2 linked regions of the Nothobranchius furzeri genome follow. The protein of the gene in region 2 interacts with the protein of the main gene of each other region in a biochemical or structural test. Links are inferred from orthologs where the notes say so. Each region holds a gene or a part of one and is shown on either strand. Other genes may lie near its edges.

Evidence for each region.
Region 1: the proteins of sh3rf1 (region 2) and akt2 form a complex in vitro, tested with the Homo sapiens proteins (2 studies listed by BioGRID and IntAct, with this or other methods). The link is inferred for Nothobranchius furzeri from reciprocal best matches to the Homo sapiens genes SH3RF1 and AKT2.

The regions. Positions count from the first base shown.
Region 1 is NC_091753.1:24,397,755-24,408,877, forward strand, and holds part of akt2 (RAC-beta serine/threonine-protein kinase), read right to left. Parts: intron 9,898-11,123; 5' UTR 9,785-9,897; coding exon 9,739-9,784; intron 9,494-9,738; coding exon 9,362-9,493; intron 9,286-9,361; coding exon 9,174-9,285; intron 6,375-9,173; coding exon 6,221-6,374; intron 5,707-6,220; coding exon 5,575-5,706; intron 5,460-5,574; coding exon 5,394-5,459; intron 5,310-5,393; coding exon 5,241-5,309; intron 4,943-5,240; coding exon 4,820-4,942; intron 4,689-4,819; coding exon 4,560-4,688; intron 378-4,559; coding exon 163-377; intron 1-162. UniProt on the Homo sapiens protein: Serine/threonine kinase closely related to AKT1 and AKT3. All 3 enzymes, AKT1, AKT2 and AKT3, are collectively known as AKT kinase.
Region 2 is NC_091748.1:39,157,803-39,168,011, forward strand, and holds the end of sh3rf1 (E3 ubiquitin-protein ligase SH3RF1), read left to right. Parts: intron 1-5,242; coding exon 5,243-5,526; intron 5,527-5,603; coding exon 5,604-5,908; intron 5,909-6,378; coding exon 6,379-6,725; intron 6,726-6,804; coding exon 6,805-6,973; 3' UTR 6,974-7,195; downstream 7,196-10,209. UniProt on the Homo sapiens protein: Has E3 ubiquitin-protein ligase activity. In the absence of an external substrate, it can catalyze self-ubiquitination. Stimulates ubiquitination of potassium channel KCNJ1, enhancing it's dynamin-dependent and clathrin-independent endocytosis.

The sequences.
Region 1 (11,123 bases), on a different chromosome or scaffold from region 2:
TTCAACATTTACCTCAGAAATCAACCATAACTGCAACAATAAAACCCTGTTTCTCAACATTAAATAGGTAGGATCTTTGTTTTCGGTTTCTCAGAGTAAAAAGAAGTGAAACCCGTCTGGTGCTTTTTGTAAAACGGTGTTCCCGCAGCTAAGACCTCCTACCTTTGTTTGGGGTCTTTTTTAAGCAGTCCTGCCAGCAGGGCCTTTCCCTCTGGAGCCAGGCTCTTAGGGAAGCGGATCTCCTCCATGAGGATGAGCTCAAACAAACGCTCGTGGTCCTGGTTGTAAAACGGCAACCGACCACACATCATCTCATACATCACCACCCCCAGTCCCCACCAGTCCACTGCCCGTCCATAGTCGTTGTCCTCCAGCACCTGATGGGGAGAAGAGAAATGTTAAATAAAGAAAGAAATCTACTTATTTCTTCTCTGCTGTCCGGTTCCCTTCATTTATAATAAAATACCATAAAATATTAAAGCCATGTCATGCTGGGTGGCGAGATGGACACGTTTTATTTGTGAAATGTTGGGTGGAGCAACGGTAGGTTTTGAAATGATTTTTACCACCTTTTTAACGAAGCTGATTAAGGTAACATCTGTTTAAGCTGTAAGAAATTATTTGTGGGATATATTTTTGCAGGAAATAAACAGCACGTTTATTAAAGACTAAAATTAGAAGTGTGCTCAGAAAACACACCGATTGTTGCCACCTGCAGTCATTGATGACTTTAGTTTTGGTATTTAAAAAGGCATGGTACATTGCTAGTTCGCTTCCATGTCCGTTTTAAACTGATAACCTTACGTTGAGACACGATGGAGGTAGGGCTGCTCGATTATGGCAAAAATAATAATCACGATTATTGTGACTGAAATTGAGATCTCGATTATTTAGGACGATTTTTCAATTTATGTTGATTTTATTTGTTTTTATTCAGTCATAAAATTGCTCAGGGCACAATCAGGACAAAAAAAATGAGAACAAGATGATCACTAAAATAACTCCTGATTCCCAGTATAAAAAGACCAATATACTTATAGCTCATAGTCTATGACCCAAGGGCTATAGACCTTGGTTTAACTCATTTAAGTCTAACCAGTACAGACCCAAATACCAATATGTTGCAAATACTGACAGCAAGAATTATACAGTGGCATTTATAACAAATAAATGCAAATAAATTGATGTTCATAAAATGTTGCATAACATTTATTTAGTCGTGTCAAGATGCTGTAGGAGCAGGCACTAGCACCGTGTCCTCAGAGAGATTAGTTATTTATCAGCGTGGGGAACTTATTTCTACCTTATTAATAAACTATTTATTTACAAGTCCATCAGTTAATGTAATAATTGTCCCAACCACAGCTGCACACCCCTCAACCTGGTCTCAAAGCAATCAGGGGCAAGCTGCACGTGTGTTTAGCACGCCGCATGCGCACATTAGCCGTTTTTAGCGGCTCAGGAGTCCGCAGGTGCGGTGTGTGTGTCACTCACTCTGGTTAATCCACAGGGAGCTGGCTCTGAGGGCTGTTTCTTTAGCGACCGACACATCACTACATCATTCCCTTTCCTAATGTCCTGAAGAACGGTCCGGAGCGCAGGCGGAGTCTTTAGCTAATCTGCAGGAAATGTCGACGACAGTTATCCAGAAAGTAGCTAAGGGGTTCCCAGAGATGTTTTTGAGGTGTTCGCTAGGTACTTTTAAGATTTAAAAAGTCAAGAAGGGGGTCTGAAAAGCTGTTGGAAATAGCGTCAAAGTCGCCAAGTTGGCAACACAGTGGGAGGAGCGCTTCATTTGCAACTCAGGGCAGCGCAAGTGGGATGAGCAAATAATCGGCTTGTTTTGTTTGTATAATCGTTCAAAACTCAGATCGTAATCATGATTAAAATTCGATTAATTGAGCAGCCCTAGATGGAGGTGTAGCTCTTTTGGTTGGATCGTGTACAAAAGGGGTTGATCTCTCTTACAAGACCGTATGTGATCAGTTAGCTCCAGATGTGTTGGTATGACTTTTAGCTACTAGAACATTTGTAGCTCAGCATCGTTACAGATGTTTAGAACTGCTTTGGTCCTTTCTTTATCGGTCTCCACATTTAGCCGTTTGTGTCCATCGTAGCAGCAGCTTCTCACTCATTCCAGCGAATCAAACACCCTTTAGACGGGCATCAAACACTTTCATACATACTGCTCTTTATGACATTATTATTGGCTTCATCACATTCCTCAAAATTAACTATCCTTTTAAATACTTAATAGTCATTCTCCACCAAACTAATAGTCCTCGTTTCACTGTGCGAGTCATTAGATCCTGGTTCTGGTCTATAGGGCCTTACATGGACAAGCACCACCATACATTGGTGATCTTCTTAGTCCCTAAACCCCCAGCAGGTCCCTGAGGTCCAGTGACCAAAGCCTACTGGTTGTGAAGCACCAGGCTAAAGACCAAAGGTGACAGATCATCTGCTGCTGTGGCCCCCAGACTCTGGACCTCTCTCCCCCTGATCAGTGGACTCAGTGGTCTCCTTTAAGAAGCAGCAGAAAACTCACCTGTTCACGCTTTGGCATGACCTTCATCACCACCCTTATTCTGTTCTTATTCCACCTTTCCTGGGATCCACTGATTTCCCTCTTTCCTGTTCATTTTCTCTTTAATTATTTTTTTTATTTAAACCATATCTTTTAATCAATCTTTTTGTGTTTTTTTTTCTAGTGAAGCGCCTCATGAGTTTTATCTAGAGAGGCGCTATATAAAAGATTGTTTTCTTTCTTAGATTCAAAAATGTTGAAATTGTCAAATCTGTCAAATCTGTGATTTAACTATCATTTTTACCTGAAACTGTGTCTGAATTAAAGGGACTTTATGGAGTTTTGAATTTTTATGCTCGCGATTGCCCCCTCAGGCCAAAAGCGTAACGGCAGCTTCAATAGTAGGCTCGTGCATGAGGTGCGCATGCTGTACGTGCACACTCCTTAACGAAAATAACAGCTGAGACAGTCCCGTGTGTGTGTGTGTGTCCCGGAGGACAGAGGACAGGAGAACACGCAGCTAATTAATTAAATAATTTGGTTCTGTACCTTTCTCTTCAGCACAGCCGACAAAGGTTTATGATGGGTCAGTCCTCCTGCATGCTCAGATCATTCCCTTCCCTTGCTTGAAAAATTGTTCCAAAATGAAAGTTGAATCCACATATTTTTTTATCTGTGAATTCAATGCCGTTCAGCGAGTCTCAAATAAAAATTTGGGCATCTTACTGTAAAAAAATATACCATTAATGTAAAAAATAAATTATGTTCATGTCCAGAGTCGAACCCGGATCTCCTGCACGACAGCCTGACGTCTTACTAGGTGTGCTAAAGGGCCAGTTATATGTTTTGCATCTGTAACTTTTATATCTTTGATGACAGCTGAAACAACGTTCAAGGAACGGTTCGGAGTGAAAATGGCTATTTTGTTGCTAATTTGCAGGAAATATCTTGAAGAAAGTTCTACAGAAAGTAGCTAAGGGTCCTCAGAAATGTAGCTAGGTTCATCACTAGGCGTTAGGAACAGCGACAAAGTCGCTGAGTTGGCACTACCTCACTCTCACCTGCTAAAGCTACTGATAGCAAATGCTACGGGCTATGCCTGAGCGTGAACGCGCATGAAGCAGCCTGCTCGACCCGAGCATCTCTCTTTTTCTGTGATTTTACAGAAAAACAGGCAATCACAGTAAAAAGGCCAGGGCTCATTCTACAGGACCAGGGCATTGCAGGAGAATGTATGAAGAAGAAATTTATTATTTCTAGACATGTTTTGGCTGTCAAACTTCCATAATGCCCCTTTAATGGATGTTTCTTACATTTGTTGTAAATAAGTTTGTAGGGATGTAAGGAAATACTGATGCGCTGAGATATGGCGATTTTTCATGTGATGATACTGAATGGATATCTAAAAGCACCGTATCGATTTTTATTGAGGATTTACAAGCAAACATATACTGTATTTCTTAGGTGTGAAGCAATTCAAACTCTGACTGCTAGGTGGCAGCAGTTTTCACCACCTTCTCTCTAGTGGATCTCAAGATAACCCTGCATGCATCTTGGAAACATCTGACTCGAGTTTTCCAATTAAGATCCGTCATAAATTGCATCGTTTTGCCAGATTCCTGCCCATACACACCCCTACACATCTCTACTGGCTTTTGCACATAGGTGTCAACTATTAGAATAGCAAACAGCCCATGCAGTAACAATGTGAAACATACATTGTTCGGTGCGTTGTATTCACTCCCATCACTAGAGACAGTCATGTGTCACTAAGCTGTAGATTTCAAATGGCTGGGCAAATACCGACTATAGTGCTGTCTGCAGGTTTTTCAAGTAACGCCACAAAGATCGGACTTTTATGAATGAGCATCACAGTGAAAAGACGACTTGACCATCTTGTTCATAAATAACGGCGTCTTTCATCTAGGGGTAGCAGAAGCTCAGGAGGTAGAGCGGACTCACCAGTAATCGGAGAATTGTAGGATCGATTATTATTCATTTTGTCAGACACCAACAGTCCAGACAGATTTACCTCTGGTGCCAGGTACTCCGGGGTTCCACAGAAGGTTTTCATGGTGGCGCCGTCTGTGATCCCCTCTTTACAAAGTCCAAAATCCGTTATCTTTATGTGGCCATCTTTGTCTAACATGAGGTTCTCAAGCTGCACATGGAAATGTAGACGCGAATCAGATCAGAAATACAGATCACTTCAAAAAACTTGCTAAGAAACTTCCCATTCTTCTTCCTGACAGGTGAACGAGTCCCCTGGGTTGAACGAAGAGAACACATTACCTTCAAGTCTCTGTAAACGACATTGCGTGAGTGTAGATACTCCAGTGCTGAGACTATTTCTGCACCGTAGAACCGTGCCCTATCTTCAGTGAATACTCTGTCCCGGGATAAGTGAAAGAAGAGCTGCAAGAGGATTAAAAAACATACTGAATATTTTTATTTGCAGCATCATGAACTTGACTCTGTACGTATTAAAGACTGAAGATATTTTTGTTTGAGCTTTACAGGCGGGTGAAGGTTTGAAAAACAAGTGATTGAAAGTGGATTTAAATTCTGACGTTATTCCCATGAAACGGTAATCCGGTCTGGATTACAAACATTCTAAAGGCAAAATATCAAGTCTACAACTGATTCAATGCGGGGAAGTTTCCTTCTGCTTGTTTAAACCTACCGCCTGTCTAAAGCAAAAAGAAATAGCTACCTCTCCTCCGTTTGCGTACTCCATCACAAAGCAGAGCCGGTCGTTTGTTTGAAATGCATACTTTAGAGTCTGCAGAAGAAATCATGTGCACCTTCATTATGAGGATGAAGAGAAGTCTTCAGGCAAAAAACAACAGAAGTACTTGTGACTCACCGTTAGAAAGGGGTGCCTCGTATTTTGGAGAACTCGGCTCTCTGTAACTGTGTGTGCCACCTCGTCCTATAGGAACACACACACACACGCACACACACAGTCCATGCATAAAGAGCACAAACACTAAGCATGTAGCAAAACTACAAGACAGTCCCACTTAAATATTTTAGTCAGCACTGACTTTAGCGATGATGACTTCTTTGCGGAGGATTTTCATGGCATAGTACATCCCAGTGGCTTTCTCCTTCACCAAGATCACTTTTCCAAACGTCCCTTTTCCCAAAAGCTTCAGGTAGTCAAAGTCGATCATGGTCTTCAGGAAAGTTGAGACAAACATTAATTCATCTCTAATTTGTTGGAACTCATTCCTGTTTTCTCAGACATGCCATGATTTATGTGATTTATGTGAAAAAGCAAAGAAAAACACAAAAAACTTTCTTTAAAACATACAAATTAAAAACAATGTTTGCTGCTTTTGCCAGGTTTTCTGTGTTTTGGGTCAAAATCTGCAGGTAAGCATTAAAGTAAAGACTAGGACAAAAAAACATATTTTATAAAAGAAAACAGAAAATGTCAATGAAAATTATCTCTCAAAACATTTCAGCAAGACAAAAATTAAAAAAATAATCAAACAGTGACCTTTTTAATTTAAAAAGGGTTTCACAAAAAAGCTTTGAGAAAGAGGCTTAAAGTTTGACCAACTTGCTCAATAAAGATGAGCTTAGCAGAACACACACACACACACACACACACACACACACACACACACACACACACACACACACACACACACACAGCTGCCAGGCGTTGCTTGTGCAAATACTGACTACTTTTGAACGGGATTTGGACACAGCAATCTCCATCTCCTCTGCGCCGCTGCTGTCACTCGGTGAGCCAAATTTAATCTCCATGGGTTCCTCGTCCTGCTGCTGACTCTTCAGGCTGTTGGTTACTGCCTGGATCGATCTCATCCATTCCTCCCTGACCCAGAGAGAAGCACACGGTGACCTTTTCAAATCTAATGCATGTCTGACTGAATACAAATAAAATGTCAAAGAATAAAATAAAAATTCTACAGAAGTAAAACAAATATTCCTCTGTAAATTGACATTCTATATTATTTTATTTTGAAAATTTGTCACACGGCATTTCCAAAGCAACATGTTTACGTGAAATAGTGGCCTTGCAGTCTTTATTTAGAGTGCAGAGGATAATCTGTGGGCTTCTGGGATTTGGTGGTTGGCAGAGCCCACGTAAAAAAAAAATACACCTAATGACAATTTCTTGGGTTAGAGGTGAAAAATCAGGTATAACCCAACGTGATGGCTGTTTCTATTTTACAAACAAATCCTACACATTTAACAATGGTCATTATAACTTTTACAAACTAAATGTTTTATCCACAGTTTTCATTGTAATTATGTTGTGCACATTTTCACGTGCGGTTTAAAACTCAGGGAATAGTTTCACACGAACACGGTTAAAGCTGCTTTCCGGAGTTTTCTACTTTCAGAAATTATGTATGGTTTTTCAGAAATCCGTAAAAGTGATTATATTATCATGTAATGTGATATAATGTAAGCAATACGTCTTTTTGTTTTTTGCTAAGCATGCCCCCTGCCCTGCAGAGCTCCGTGCAATAGGAAACTGAGCGCTGACCAGAACTAACCAATAGCGTTAGACTACTGCTTAGCGTTAGACTACTGCTTAGACGCTTCAAATTTAAGGAATACCTCGGCTGACACAGAGTTGATGAATTTTTCACGGACAAGTAAGTCTCTAAAATATAAATATATGAGAACACAACATGACATGAGAATAATACTCGTAAAACAGCGTGTTTTAGCTCTGTTTGTCGGCTACAGAAGCACATTTATAAACACAAATGTGAAGTTGCCACCTTAAGAGCAACAGACTTTTTGTGATATGCTTGTCCGCCACTAGATGGTGCCATCGGACATGAGAAATACTCCGGAAAGAGAATTTAAACATAAGAAATTATGTCCAAAGTTCTCCTATTTGTGGTTATTTTGTTTAGATGTTATTATTCCAAATGGTTTGGTTGTAACTACTTCTTTTTACTTGTGTTTATTGTTTAAAGCATTATTTAAATTTAAGATTTACACTAGAAGACACAAAAGACAGCAGTATGACTCACACACCGTTCTTTTTTAGATGAAATGTACCAAACTTGTTCTTTTTAACCAGCTAGCTGCACTCATGAGTAAAGGTAGATAGGTTAGTATGGTGGATTGATTAATTTGACGTTTACAGTTTTTTTTTTAAGTAAAACCAACAACTGGCCATGTCTGTGCATGCTTTAGTGATAAACAGTCAGGCACATCCACGGGCAGCACAGTGTTCCTGCTGCAGAGTTGACAGTACAAATGAGAAACATGTGACTCTACACACTCAGATTCAAATCATGCTAAAGGCTGGACTTAAAGGTCACCTGAGGGGTCAACTTTAGAAAGAAACAACATAACTACCAGTAAAAACACACTTTTCTTTCAGTCGTTTGCATTTATTTGTTTTATTTTTAGAGATAAAAGGCCAGATAAGTTTAAACTTCTCTGGAACTGGAACATTCCTGTAATCAGCTGTGGCTTAGGATGGAATAAATTCCAGTTGGTATTGAGTATGGTTGTGCACTTCATTTGACTGTCAATTCTGGTTTCTAAACCAAAATAGATATAAAAGTGACAAAAAAAAAAAAAGATTATTACAATTATTTCATCACATTATGTTTTGCAAATCTGCCATTTAAATATTTCACTGCACAGATCTGCCTTTTGAGGACCAAGCTCATGAATGTCCCCCTGTGGTGTTTTATGAACCAAGTGCAAGTAAAGATGACGGTGCCGATGCAAAACACATCAGCAGTGTGTGACACCAATAAATACACCTTCATTTTAACTCATTCACTGCCAGCATTTCTCACCACTTTTACTGTTTTCTTAAGAGCGCTAGGATGATGTAGACGCCAAAACAACCAAAGCAATGAGGAGACTCACCTCTTACATCAGGAAGAATCCGCGTGTTTCGAGCGTTATCCGTTTTTTCATAATCTGTTGTCGAATTGTGATCGGCAGACGCTTTTCCGGTTCGCGCCTCACCTTTTTTATAGGAACGGCCCAAAACGATCTCCTAACACATGGATGTTCTGCTTCCTGATCACGTGATGTGTGACGTATGCAGATGAAGATCGGCTTCAGGGCTGAGATAATTGTTCTCTCAGCGCGGGGGCTCGTTCCGATGCTCAAACAGTAAAAAAAAAAAAATGCAAATGACGACTTTAGTCGTCATTGGCGGTGAATGAGTTAATCAGTTATGACCCTAGCAGACTGCTTGGTGCAACTGTTCACACACACACTTCCTGTTTGTCTATGAGCTGCTGTAGTAGCTCTTTCTGCTTTTTCAGTGGCGTTTCCATGTTTGCTTCATGTGGTCAATCAAGTAGAAGATCAAGTTTAATTAGCTGGTGTCTGTTTCAAACTAATGACTGAATGTAGCAAAAATATTTGATTCTCACCCTAAACAGGCCAGAAGTTAGGTGTGTTTTTATATATATATAAGGCCAAGTATAACTCTGGCCACAGTTGCATTATTTGTTTGTCAGGTTTAAAAAAGCTGACATCAACACTGAATTCCTGGTTTCTATTGATCAGCTACACAAAATCATTCCTTACTACACATATTTCCCATGGATCATGTTTGTGACACTAAAAATAAGTCATTTAAAATTCCGATAATTCTAACCCATAGAAAATCAGATTTTACCTCTCCTCCTTGCTGTCTACGTGAAAGGTTCGCTCAATAACCGAGGTCCACTGGAGACATCGGATGACAAACGTGTTGGGCCTGGGGCGTTCCGTCTTCATCAACTGACATTCTATAAACCACAGACTCAACCATGAGCAACAGACCCAATGGAGAAAGCCTAGCATGCAACTCTGTGAAAAACGTGCCTGCAACAGAGAAGTTGTTGAGCGGTGGTTGGCTGGGATCAATGGACACTTCAGGCTTGTCTTTATATCCGATAAACGATCCGTCACTCTTCAGGATGAAGTAACGCGGCCGCCATGTTTTGATGTATTCACCTAGATGTGGACAGATGAGAGGCTGTTTTAATGTTTGACCACTTCCCTGTGGATGACTAAGCCTCTCTGTACCACAAGATTATAAACAGATGACCAACTGAGAGTGACTGAATTAAGCCGATGTTCTTCATCAGTTTGAATAATTCACATCTGTAGCAGAGATATTAACGTATTCAATATTTTATTCCACGTAGATCTTAGCTACAAATTCACATGAGGGTTGGTGAATACAAAGAGACCCTCACCTCTCTTTTGGAGCCATCCCTCTCTAACAACACTGACTTCATTCATGCTGGGGCAGAAAACTGTTGGGGTAGGTAGGGGGGCTGCAGACAAGCCGATGGAAACTGTGGACACTGTGCTTCAAGTCTCTGACTCAAATAAAAACCTTTAGTGTGTAATACCTGGAGGAGGAGAAGAAAAGAACATAATCATGGTTAAATACTGGGAGTATTAATTTGGGTAAAATAAGTCACAGAGTCTTGAATGTTGTGAAATTCAGAAAAACAGTAATAGCAAATGTATAGAGCTCAATGACCCTGTACAGGCGTAGACGAGTTCCCTCTAAAAGAAGAAATGTTTTACGGTTAGACCCATCACCCACGCAAACGTAACTATTCTTTTTAAAACCGCCGACCAAAGTGGACAGCTGTGATTTCTCCATCGTCAGCATTTGCTTGTGGACGTGAAAAAACAACAACAGGGTTTTAGGTTTTATAACGTCACTTCCTGCGTCATAAACGCTCTGATGTCATATGTCTGACCTGTGTTAACGCTTTCTTGTTTCATTAATGCTCTAAGTAGAAAACCACAGGTGAAGGATGACGTTAACAACGGTTTTGCTCACCACTACGTCTAAGGAATACCAGAGCCGCCAAAGAACTGCTAAAGCAGGCATGTCCAAAATGTGGCCCGGGGGCCATTTCTGGCCCACTGAGCAATTTTGTACGGCCCCCACTTAAATTTCTAAAATGGTGATTTTTGTCTCTTCAATAGGATGTTGATATAGATCGCCACTTTCTAACATGTTTATGTTCAGATGTTTACTTATAAGCCTATTTTGGATTTTTTTTTGAAGAGTACAAATTTAAAAAATTATATAAAATAATGTTTGCACTTTTTAAATTAAGAAAATCACATTCTTGAGGCCCCCATTGACTTAAAACATGACTTTTTTGGGCCCTTGTCATGAAAAGTTTAGACATTCCTGTACTAAAGGAACTACTGCCACCTACAGGCTTGGCATGCCTTTGAATGTCCTCCACAATGCACTGGATATTTTAATTGGGAACGAGGTGGCGTGGACCCAAGTCCTTTGTCGATATTTGGTTTTACTAAAACCCGGCTACGTGTATGGTAGGGATGCACCAAGTGAAAATTCTTGTCCGAAAACGAAAACCAAAAAAATGAGGACACCAAGAGAGAAAACCAAAACACCGAAAGAAATTCAGTCAATAATTAAAAACATAGAATAATAATAATAATAATGCATTGAACTTATATAGCACTTTTTTAGGACACTCAAAGATGCTTTCACACACACTCACATTCACACACTGCCAGTGATGGTAAGCTACTTTTGTAGCCACAGCCGCCCTGGGGCGGTCTGACAGAGGCCAGGCTGCCATTT
Region 2 (10,209 bases):
ATAAAGAACAGCATTTGATTACTTAGCAAATTCCTCTTCATAAATGTGTAACTACTTTATTTCTTTGAGGTCTGCTCCCAAAGCCGGTAAACAGTTGACTATAAATGTGGAAAAGTTGTTTAAAGTAACTCGTGTTCAGACGTGTTTTTGTCAGATATGTTAAAGACGCAGACGTGTTAAAGACGCAGGCGTGTTAAAGACGCAGACGTGTTAAAGACGCAGGCGTGTTAAAGACGCAGGCGTGTTAAAGACGCAGACGTGTTAAAGACGCAGACGTGTTAAAGACGCAGACGTGTTAAAGACGCAGGCGTGTTAAAGACGCAGGCTTGTTAAAGACGCAGGCGTGTTAAAGACGCAGGCGTGTTAAAGACGCAGGCGTGTTAAAGACGCAGACGTGTTAAAGACGCAGACGTGTTAAAGACGCAGACGTGTTAAAGACGCAGGCGTGTTAAAGACGCAGACGTGTTAAAGACGCAGACGTGTTTTTGTCAGACGTGTTAAAGACGCAGACGTGTTAAAGACGCAGACGTGTTAAAGACGCAGGCGTGTTAGCAGGCGTGTTAAAGACGCAGGCGTGTTAAAGACGCAGACGTGTTAAAGACGCAGACGTGTTAAAGACGCAGACGTGTTTTTGTCAGACGTGTTAAAGACGCAGACGTGTTAAAGACGCAGACGTGTTAAAGACGCAGACGTGTTAAAGATGCAGACATGTTAAAGACACAGACATGTTAAAGACGCAGACGTGTTAAAGACGCAGACGTGTTAAAGACGCAGACGTGTTAAAGACGCAGACGTGTTAAAGACGCAGACGTGTTTTTGTCAGACGTGTTAAAGACGCAGACGTGTTAAAGACGCAGACGTGTTAAAGACGCAGACGTGTTAAAGACGCAGACGTGTTAAAGACGCAGACGTGTTTTTGTCAGACGTGTTAAAGACGCAGACGTGTTAAAGACGCAGACGTGTTAAAGACGCAGACGTGTTAAAGACGCAGACGTGTTAAAGACGCAGGCGTGTTAAAGACGCAGACGTGTTAAAGACGCAGGCGTGTTAAAGACGCAGACGTGTTAAAGACGCAGACGTGTTAAAGACGCAGACGTGTTTTTGTCAGACGTATTAAAGACGCAGACGTGTTAAAGACGCAGACGTGTTTTTGTCAGACGTGTTAAAGACGCAGACGTGTTAAAGACGCAGACGTGTTAAAGACGCAGGCGTGTTAAAGACGCAGGCGTGTTAAAGACGCAGACGTGTTAAAGACGCAGACGTGTTAAAGACGCAGACGTGTTAAAGACGCAGACGTGTTAAAGACGCAGGCGTGTTAAAGACGCAGGCGTGTTAAAGACGCAGACGTGTTAAAGACGCAGACGTGTTAAAGACGCAGACGTGTTAAAGACGCAGACGTGTTAAAGACGCAGACGTGTTAAAGACGCAGACGTGTTTTTGTCAGACGTGTTAAAGACGCAGACGTGTTAAAGACGCAGACGTGTTAAAGACGCAGACGTGTTAAAGACGCAGACGTGTTAAAGATGCAGACATGTTAAAGACACAGACATGTTAAAGACACAGACATGTTAAAGACGCAGACATGTTAAAGACGCCGACATGTTAAAGACGCAGACGTGTTAAAGACGCAGACGTGTTTTTGTCAGACGTGTTAAAGACGCAGACGTGTTAAAGACGCAGACGTGTTAAAGACGCAGACGTGTTAAAGACGCAGACGTGTTAAAGACGCAGACGTGTTAAAGACGCAGACGTGTTAAAGACGCAGACGTGTTAAAGACGCAGACGTGTTAAAGACGCAGGCGTGTTAAAGACGCAGACGTGTTAAAGACGCAGACGTGTTAAAGACGCAGACGTGTTTTTGTCAGACGTGTTAAAGACGCAGACGTGTTAAAGACGCAGACGTGTTAAAGACGCAGACGTGTTAAAGACGCAGACGTGTTTTTGTCAGACGTGTTAAAGACGCAGACGTGTTAAAGACGCAGACGTGTTAAAGACGCAGACGTGTTAAAGACGCAGGCGTGTTAAAGACGCAGACGTGTTAAAGACGCAGGCGTGTTAAAGACGCAGACGTGTTAAAGACGCAGACACGTGTTAAAGACGCAGACGTGTTTTTGTCAGACGTATTAAAGACGCAGACGCGTTAAAGACGCAGACGTGTTAAAGACGCAGACGTGTTTTTGTCAGACGTGTTAAAGACGCAGACGTGTTAAAGACGCAGACGTGTTAAAGACGCAGGCGTGTTAAAGACGCAGGCGTGTTAAAGACGCAGGCGTGTTAAAGACGCAGACGTGTTAAAGACACAGACGTGTTAAAGACGCAGACGTGTTAAAGACGCAGACGTGTTAAAGACGCAGACGTGTTAAAGACGCAGGCGTGTTAAAGACGCAGGCGTGTTAAAGACGCAGACGTGTTAAAGACGCAGATGTGTTAAAGACGCAGACGTGTTAAAGACGCAGACGTGTTAAAGACGCAGACGTGTTAAAGACGCAGACGTGTTTTTGTCAGACGTGTTAAAGACGCAGACGTGTTAAAGACGCAGATGTGTTAAAGACGCAGACGTGTTAAAGATGCAGACATGTTAAAGACACAGACATGTTAAAGACGCAGACATGTTAAAGACGCCGACATGTTAAAGACGCAGACGTGTTAAAGACGCAGACGTGTTAAAGACGCAGACGTGTTTTTGTCAGACGTGTTAAAGACGCAGACGTGTTAAAGACGCAGACGTGTTAAAGACGCAGACGTGTTAAAGACGCAGACGTGTTAAAGACGCAGACGTGTTAAAGACGCAGACGTGTTAAAGACGCAGGCGTGTTAAAGACGCAGACGTGTTAAAGACGCAGACGTGTTAAAAACGCAGACGTGTTAAAGACGCAGGCGTGTTTTTGTCAGACGTGTTAAAGACGCAGACGTGTTAAAGACGCAGACGTGTTAAAGACGCAGACGTGTTAAAGACGCAGGCGTGTTAAAGACGCAGGCGTGTTAAAGACGCAGGCGTGTTAAAGACGCAGACGTGTTAAAGACGCAGACGCGTTAAAGACGCAGACGTGTTAAAGACGCAGACGTGTTTTTGTCAGACGTGTTAAAGACGCAGACGTGTTAAAGACGCAGACGTGTTAAAGACGCAGGCGTGTTAAAGACGCAGGCGTGTTAAAGACGCAGGCGTGTTAAAGACGCAGACGTGTTAAAGACGCAGACGTGTTAAAGACGCAGGCGTGTTAAAGACGCAGACGTGTTAAAGACGCAGACACGTGTTAAAGACGCAGACGTGTTTTTGTCAGACGTATTAAAGACGCAGACGCGTTAAAGACGCAGACGTGTTAAAGACGCAGACGTGTTTTTGTCAGACGTGTTAAAGACGCAGACGTGTTAAAGACGCAGACGTGTTAAAGACGCAGGCGTGTTAAAGACGCAGGCGTGTTAAAGACGCAGGCGTGTTAAAGACGCAGACGTGTTAAAGACGCAGGCGTGTTAAAGACGCAGGCGTGTTAAAGACGCAGGCGTGTTAAAGACGCAGGCGTGTTATAGACGCAGACGTGTTATAGACGCAGACGTGTTAAAGACGCAGACGTGTTAAAGACGCAGGCGTGTTAAAGACGCAGGCGTGTTAAAGACGCAGGCGTGTTAAAGACGCAGGCGTGTTAAAGACGCAGGCGTGTTAAAGACGCAGACGTGTTAAAGACGCAGGCGTGTTAAAGACGCAGGCGTGTTAAAGACGCAGACGTGTTAAAGACGCAGGCGTATTAAAGACGCAGACGTGTTAAAGACGCAGGCGTGTTAAAGACGCAGGCGTGTTAAAGACGCAGGCTTGTTAAAGACGCAGGCGTGTTAAAGACGCAGGCGTGTTAAAGACGCAGACGTGTTAAAGACGCAGGCGTGTTAAAGACGCAGACGTGTTAAAGACGCAGACGTGTTAAAGACGCAGACGTGTTAAAGACGCAGACGTGTTAAAGACGCAGGCGTGTTAAAGACGCAGGCGTGTTAAAGACGCAGACGTGTTAAAGACGCAGACGTGTTAAAGACGCAGACGTGTTAAAGACGCAGGCGTGTTAAAGACGCAGACGTGTTAAAGACGCAGGCGTGTTAAAGACGCAGGCGTGTTAAAGACGCAGGCGTGTTAAAGACGCAGGCGTGTTATAGACGCAGACGTGTTATAGACGCAGACGTGTTAAAGACGCAGACGTGTTAAAGACGCAGGCGTGTTAAAGACGCAGGCGTGTTAAAGACGCAGGCGTGTTAAAGACGCAGGCGTGTTATAGACGCAGACGTGTTAAAGACGCAGGCGTGTTAAAGACGCAGACGTGTTAAAGACGCAGGCGTGCTAAAGACGCAGGCGTGCTAAAGACGCAGGCGTGCTAAAGACGCAGGCGTGCTAAAGACGCAGGCGTGTTAAAGACGCAGGCGTGTTAAAGACGCAGACGTGTTAAAGACGCAGACGTGTTAAAGACGCAGGCGTGTTAAAGACGCAGGCGTGTTAAAGACGCAGGCGTGTTAAAGACGCAGACGTGTTAAAGACGCAGGCGTGTTAAAGACGCAGGCGTGTTAAAGACGCAGGCGTGTTAAAGACGCAGGCGTGTTAAAGACGCAGGCGTGTTAAAGACGCAGGCGTGTTAAAGACGCAGGCGTGTTAAAGACGCAGGCGTGTTAAAGACGCAGACGTGTTAAAGACGCAGACGTGTTAAAGACGCAGACGTGTTAAAGACGCAGGCGTGTTAAAGACGCAGGCGTGTTAAAGACGCAGACGTGTTAAAGACGCAGACGTGTTAAAGACGCAGGCGTGTTAAAGACGCAGGCGTGTTAAAGACGCAGGCGTGTTAAAGACGCAGGCGTGTTAAAGACGCAGGCGTGTTAAAGACGCAGACGTGTTAAAGACGCAGGCGTGTTAAAGACGCAGGCGTGTTATAGACGCAGGCGTGTTATAGACGCAGACGTGTTAAAGACGCAGACGTGTTAAAGACGCAGACGTGTTAAAGACGCAGGCGTGTTAAAGACGCAGGCGTGTTATAGACGCAGGCGTGTTATAGACGCAGGCGTGTTATAGACGCAGGCGTGTTAAAGACGCAGACGTGTTAAAGACGCAGGCGTGTTAAAGACGCAGGCGTGTTAAAGACGCAGGCGTGTTAAAGACGCAGACATGTTTTTTTGCAGTGAGTAGATTTCTGAACCGTAGACTATGATGAGGTAACATTCACCTCTTCCAATAATAACGTTGATAGCTCCTGGTTCCTCATCCTCTCCACAGGACAGCGTCTGGGAACACCCAGCCCAAAGTCCCCATGAGTCTGTGCACTCAGGCTGGCAGAGGAGTGACCATCGTCAGCCCTTCCTCTGCTCCCCTGGGAGTCATTGTTCCTGGTCCTGATTCCAACAAACCCCTCACCGTGTGCTCCGCCGCTGTACCTGCGTGCTCCCAACCTGCAGCTGTGGTAGCAACAGCTCAGACCGCTACGGGCCAACAGCCTAAAGTCTCTCTCCATGTCAACTCACAGATGACAGTAAACCAGGCCCGCAGCGCCGTCCGGACTGGTACGTTAGACAGATGTTGCATAAGCGGAGTGATTTATAGTTTAAATGTGTCATTTTATTTTATTTCATCTTTGCAGCCGCTTGCCACAGTCAGGACAGACCCACAGCAGCAGTGACACCCATCCAGTCTGCTACACCCGTGACTTTCGTCCCACAGCTCTCCGTTTGTCCGCAGCCCTCCTCTAACTCGGCTCAAGGCTGCTCCCGGGCCGGAGCGGCTCTGGGCTGCGCTGCTGCCTCCCTGACTCCTCCTAATGTGAATGCTGCTTCTCTAGAGGTCGACGCCTTGAGACCTGTTCCTGTGGGCTCTGGGAGCAGTGCTGCCATCAGTCACTCATCCAGCAGTGCAGCTTTTGTCTGCAGAATGGACAAGGATGGAAAGGTGGGATGGTTGTAGAAACTCTACAAGCTACTGTTGATCATTTTTACAATAATACAGATTTTCTTATATTCTGCAGTCTCACTGGGCTGCAACTGACGTTCACAAGAGTTTCCAAAATATCTCTACGTCACAGTCCTGCTGCTTTAATTTGTAGATTAAAACAGTCTGCAGACATCACACATCTGGAACACACGTGTGTGTGTGTGTCTCCTGCAGACACACACCGCTGAGATTCTGGCTTAAATGGTTCCCAGTACAGAGTTCATAATTGTTGGAACAGAGAGACTCAGAATCATGTTGGTAGAACAGCAATCTGTGTGTTTTATTCCCAAGTCAAACGAGCCAGCACAAACCTGTTTTTGACTTTAAGGAAGCCGTTCTAGGCAGCGAGCCGTCCTTCGTGTTTTAGGAAAATGTGCTTTAATCCATAACTGTTTGGAATTTTCAACATGAAATCGATGTTGTTGCAGAGAGAAAAGAAGAGTCTTCTGAAGCTGTTGTCCTCCAATAAGAAGAAGTCTCGACCTTCACCTCCCTCCTCTCCCACCCTTGAAGGAGAACAGGCTGGAGCTGGAGAGGTGCTGCATGGAGCGGTGTGTCCTGACACCTCCCCTCCCTCCAGCTCCGTCAGCTGCCTGGAGCTGGAATCTGCTGCTGTTGCTTCTGCCTTGCCATCCGCCTCCCCCTCAGTCCCCGAGTCTACCCATCGGAAGAGCGGCCCGCTTGATGGATGCGCTCCCATCGCTCCTCCTCCTCGACAGCCCTGCTCCTCTCTTTTACCGCAGCAGTATGATGCACGTCCCATCATATGTGAGAGGTAGGCTGATGTGAGGCTGCCTTCCCTCTAATGCAACATTATACCAGTCGCTCAGTGTGCCTCTGGCTGTTCTCCCCAGGTACAGGGTGGTGGTGTCGTATCCTCCGCAGAGCGAGGCCGAGCTGGAACTCAAGGAGGGGGACATCGTGTTTGTTCACAGGAAGCGGGAGGACGGCTGGTTCAAAGGCACGCTGCAGAGGAACGGCAGGACTGGCCTGTTCCCTGGCAGCTTCGTAGACAGCATCTAACCCACCAAACTTCCCCACGGTGAGCCCAGCTATGTGGGCGCCATCATACCGACACCTGAAGTCCTGAAAGAAACCGCTAGAAGCACACAAGAGAAGCTGAAGGGGCTCTGAAGGCACAGTGGGCGGCGCTAGAGCACACTACACGTGAACTCTTCTCTTATTCTTGGTTATTTATATATTTGTAACAACTCAGCTGTTAAATGTGTGCCTTGTACTGTTCTCCACTTTATTGTACGTAAGGACACAAATATGAGTCCTAAATCAACCAGTATGACCTGTTATCAGCACGTTACACATTTAACTTATTTTATATTCTCCCTAGGCAGCAGGGGGTTACGGACAACACACTTTAGTTCATTTTCTCCTTTAGGCCGCTGATAGGGTTTTCATTATTTTGAACCTTCAGCAGGTAGGAGACCGAACATGAAACCAAACAACCAAAACGAGTCATCTGTGCTGCACCGTGAGAAGAGAAGATGCTTCCCCCGCTCCAAACGAGACGACCAGAAGAATCTGCTGTATTGCACATCTGAATCCTTAAAGCTCCTCCTTAAGCTGCACGGGACTAAGTATTTGCGTGCCGTTCATTGTTAGGTGGCCTTGTTTCGTAGAAAAATGAGAAACTAGCTCGTCATCAACGCAGCCACCCCCCAGGAGGTCATTGATGGCTCTGCCGCAGCTTATTATCCTTAAAACACTCCAGACTCTGCAGTCGAACGTTGCTGGATTTGTACCTTTTGTTTTAATTCTCTGTTTCCTGACCAGAGTAGCTGCTCTCCTAACTCTTTAGTAATATCTGAACCCAGACAGAGCTCTGCCCCTCTAGAGCGACACGTGTCATTAAAACAAAGCAGAATCTTTTATATTTATGTTAACGTTCCACCGAGGCCCAGGCCTGCTGCTTGTGACTGACCGACGCGGTTTCCCTCCCGTGGGAGCTGTTTTTTGGACGCTAGAGTTCATTCCTGATGTGACTTGAGACACTAAAACTCACCGCTGACCGTTTGCCTAAAGCAGCGTCGCTCCACAGACGTCGGTGTCTTCTCACGAATCTCATTTTTTATGAAAACAATCATTTTGAGCCCTTTAATTTGTTTTCTGGTTAAATGTACTGACTTGATTTGCTGTAAGGTTTTTGTTTTTATGTTTTTGATTACATTTGGATTTTGTAAAACATGAAATAGCTTTATTTATTTTTTTAGAATGACTACTCTGTTGTTTTGAAACAAACAACCACAGAAATCCCTGTCTCCTTTATCCCATCAAAACTGATTCAGTCCTGTATGAAAACGCATCAGAAGTAAGTACTGACCAACCCGCCCATGTTCGTACCAGGTGACCCATTCGGACGGCACGGGATGTTCGTTTCGGTTCAATCACGCGAGCCGGTCCTGGATCCTGTTGTTTTGGGTTGTTGACGGGGACCACTGTGTGCCTGACTGCTGGAATATTTAGAGTTTTAAAGAGCGTGTGGAGAGTTATGGTACACATCACTGTTGAGCCTTTTTGTTTGACTTTGTCTTTCTGAGCAGATTTAATCCGATGTTACGACGTTATCTTGGCAAGCACCAACCTCACAACTCCTCTTTGCTTTCCTTGCAAAGCCTTTAAGATTACTGACGTGTTTCAACCCAAATGCACAAGTTTATACCGACATTTGCACTGTCTCAGCATCGCTAATCTTACTGATCTTCGTCATGCCTAGGCTGCACAGTTTGGAAACACGAGGCATTTTTGGATATATTTACAAGTCTGTTTTGTCATCTGTTGAGTATTCAGTAACTTAAAGGGATTTCTTTTTGCAATTTGAAGTGTTTGTGTAAAAGTTGTAAATAATTACAACTTTCCCCTCGTAGCTGGCGTCCTGGAGGGCCCTGTTTGGAGAAGTTTGAGTTTTCATCCTACAGCATTGATGTGCTAACAGCTAGTCTGAGTGCTGCCAAGACCAAAGCTGAGTAAAACTACCAAATGTCACAGCGGTAATGCAGTATTTTTAAACCCTTCCATCGGGGCTGATTACACATGACAGCGTTGGTGACATTCTAGGACCAACGGTGTCATGTCTTCATGTTATTGCTGAAATAATCGTTATTAATAAAATGTCACATTAACCGCTGTCTATGTTTAGAAGAATGGAATCGTTTTAACACATCTCGGTTGCACTCGGCTAACTAGCCGTTAGCTCAGCAGTCCTGAAGGACATAAAGGCTATTTCTCTAAACAAAGTAAGATCTAAACACAAATAAAACAAAATTCCTTTAAGTTGGGTTGCTGAAGCTTAACTTTTCTATGCCAAGGTGGATGACTTGATTTTTTTTTCCTTGTCAAAGTTAGTGTGTTTATGTCTAAAACTAGTGAAACTGAAATCCAACTATTTGGCACATTATGTCAAAAATATTGTGAAGAATTAGAGGGAATGACATTTTGTAAAAAAAAAAAAAAAAAAAAAAAAAAGCTATCCCAAAAGTAAAATGTTTTCCATGTTTTCTTGAAGATTGTGTTGTTTTTTCCTAAGTGACATCATGTCACGCAGGCCTCCTCCTACCAGGGTAGAACTATCCAGCTGGGGCTTCAAGCTGCTGACAGGACTAGGCATCTCAAAGTTTGCATGACATGAGTAAACTTGTGTGTGTGTGTGTGTGTGTGTGTGCGCGTGCGCGTGTGTGTACGTTCAGCAGTGATTTCAGCAGCAGCCATGGTGCATGTGGTCATTATCGTCCCCAGGAAGAGGTGAGCCTCCCCAGCGTGCTCAGCTGGGAAACGCTGACTGGACCTGACAAGCACCCAGAGGTCATTGTGCTGCACACAGCTCCCTGCAGAGGACGGCTCTCCGTGGAAATTACTCCTCCCCACACAAGAATAGGACAAATAAGAATCATTGTGCATGGCCAACACAGGATGCATATATGTTGGAATTGTGTTGAATTTTCATGCTTTAAGGACGTGTGCTAAATTTGCAGCAAGGCTGTTGCTGTCTGACAGCTAAAGCTTACCGGGCTGGTGTGTATTTAAAAATAGGAGAAGCTAGTTTACAGAATGTAGCTGCCAGGGCTATTTGGGCTTCAGCTGAGCCTTGGGGTTAAATGTTTCTTGAATAGATCTTTTGTTTACAGGACATTTGCACAAACATTTGTCTTGGACACTCAGAAGTCTAAGGACATTAGATTCAGCAAATTATACTGAGTTTGATTGTTTGTGCTGTGCAGGTACAAGGGCTGTTAGGTGTAAAAGAGCTA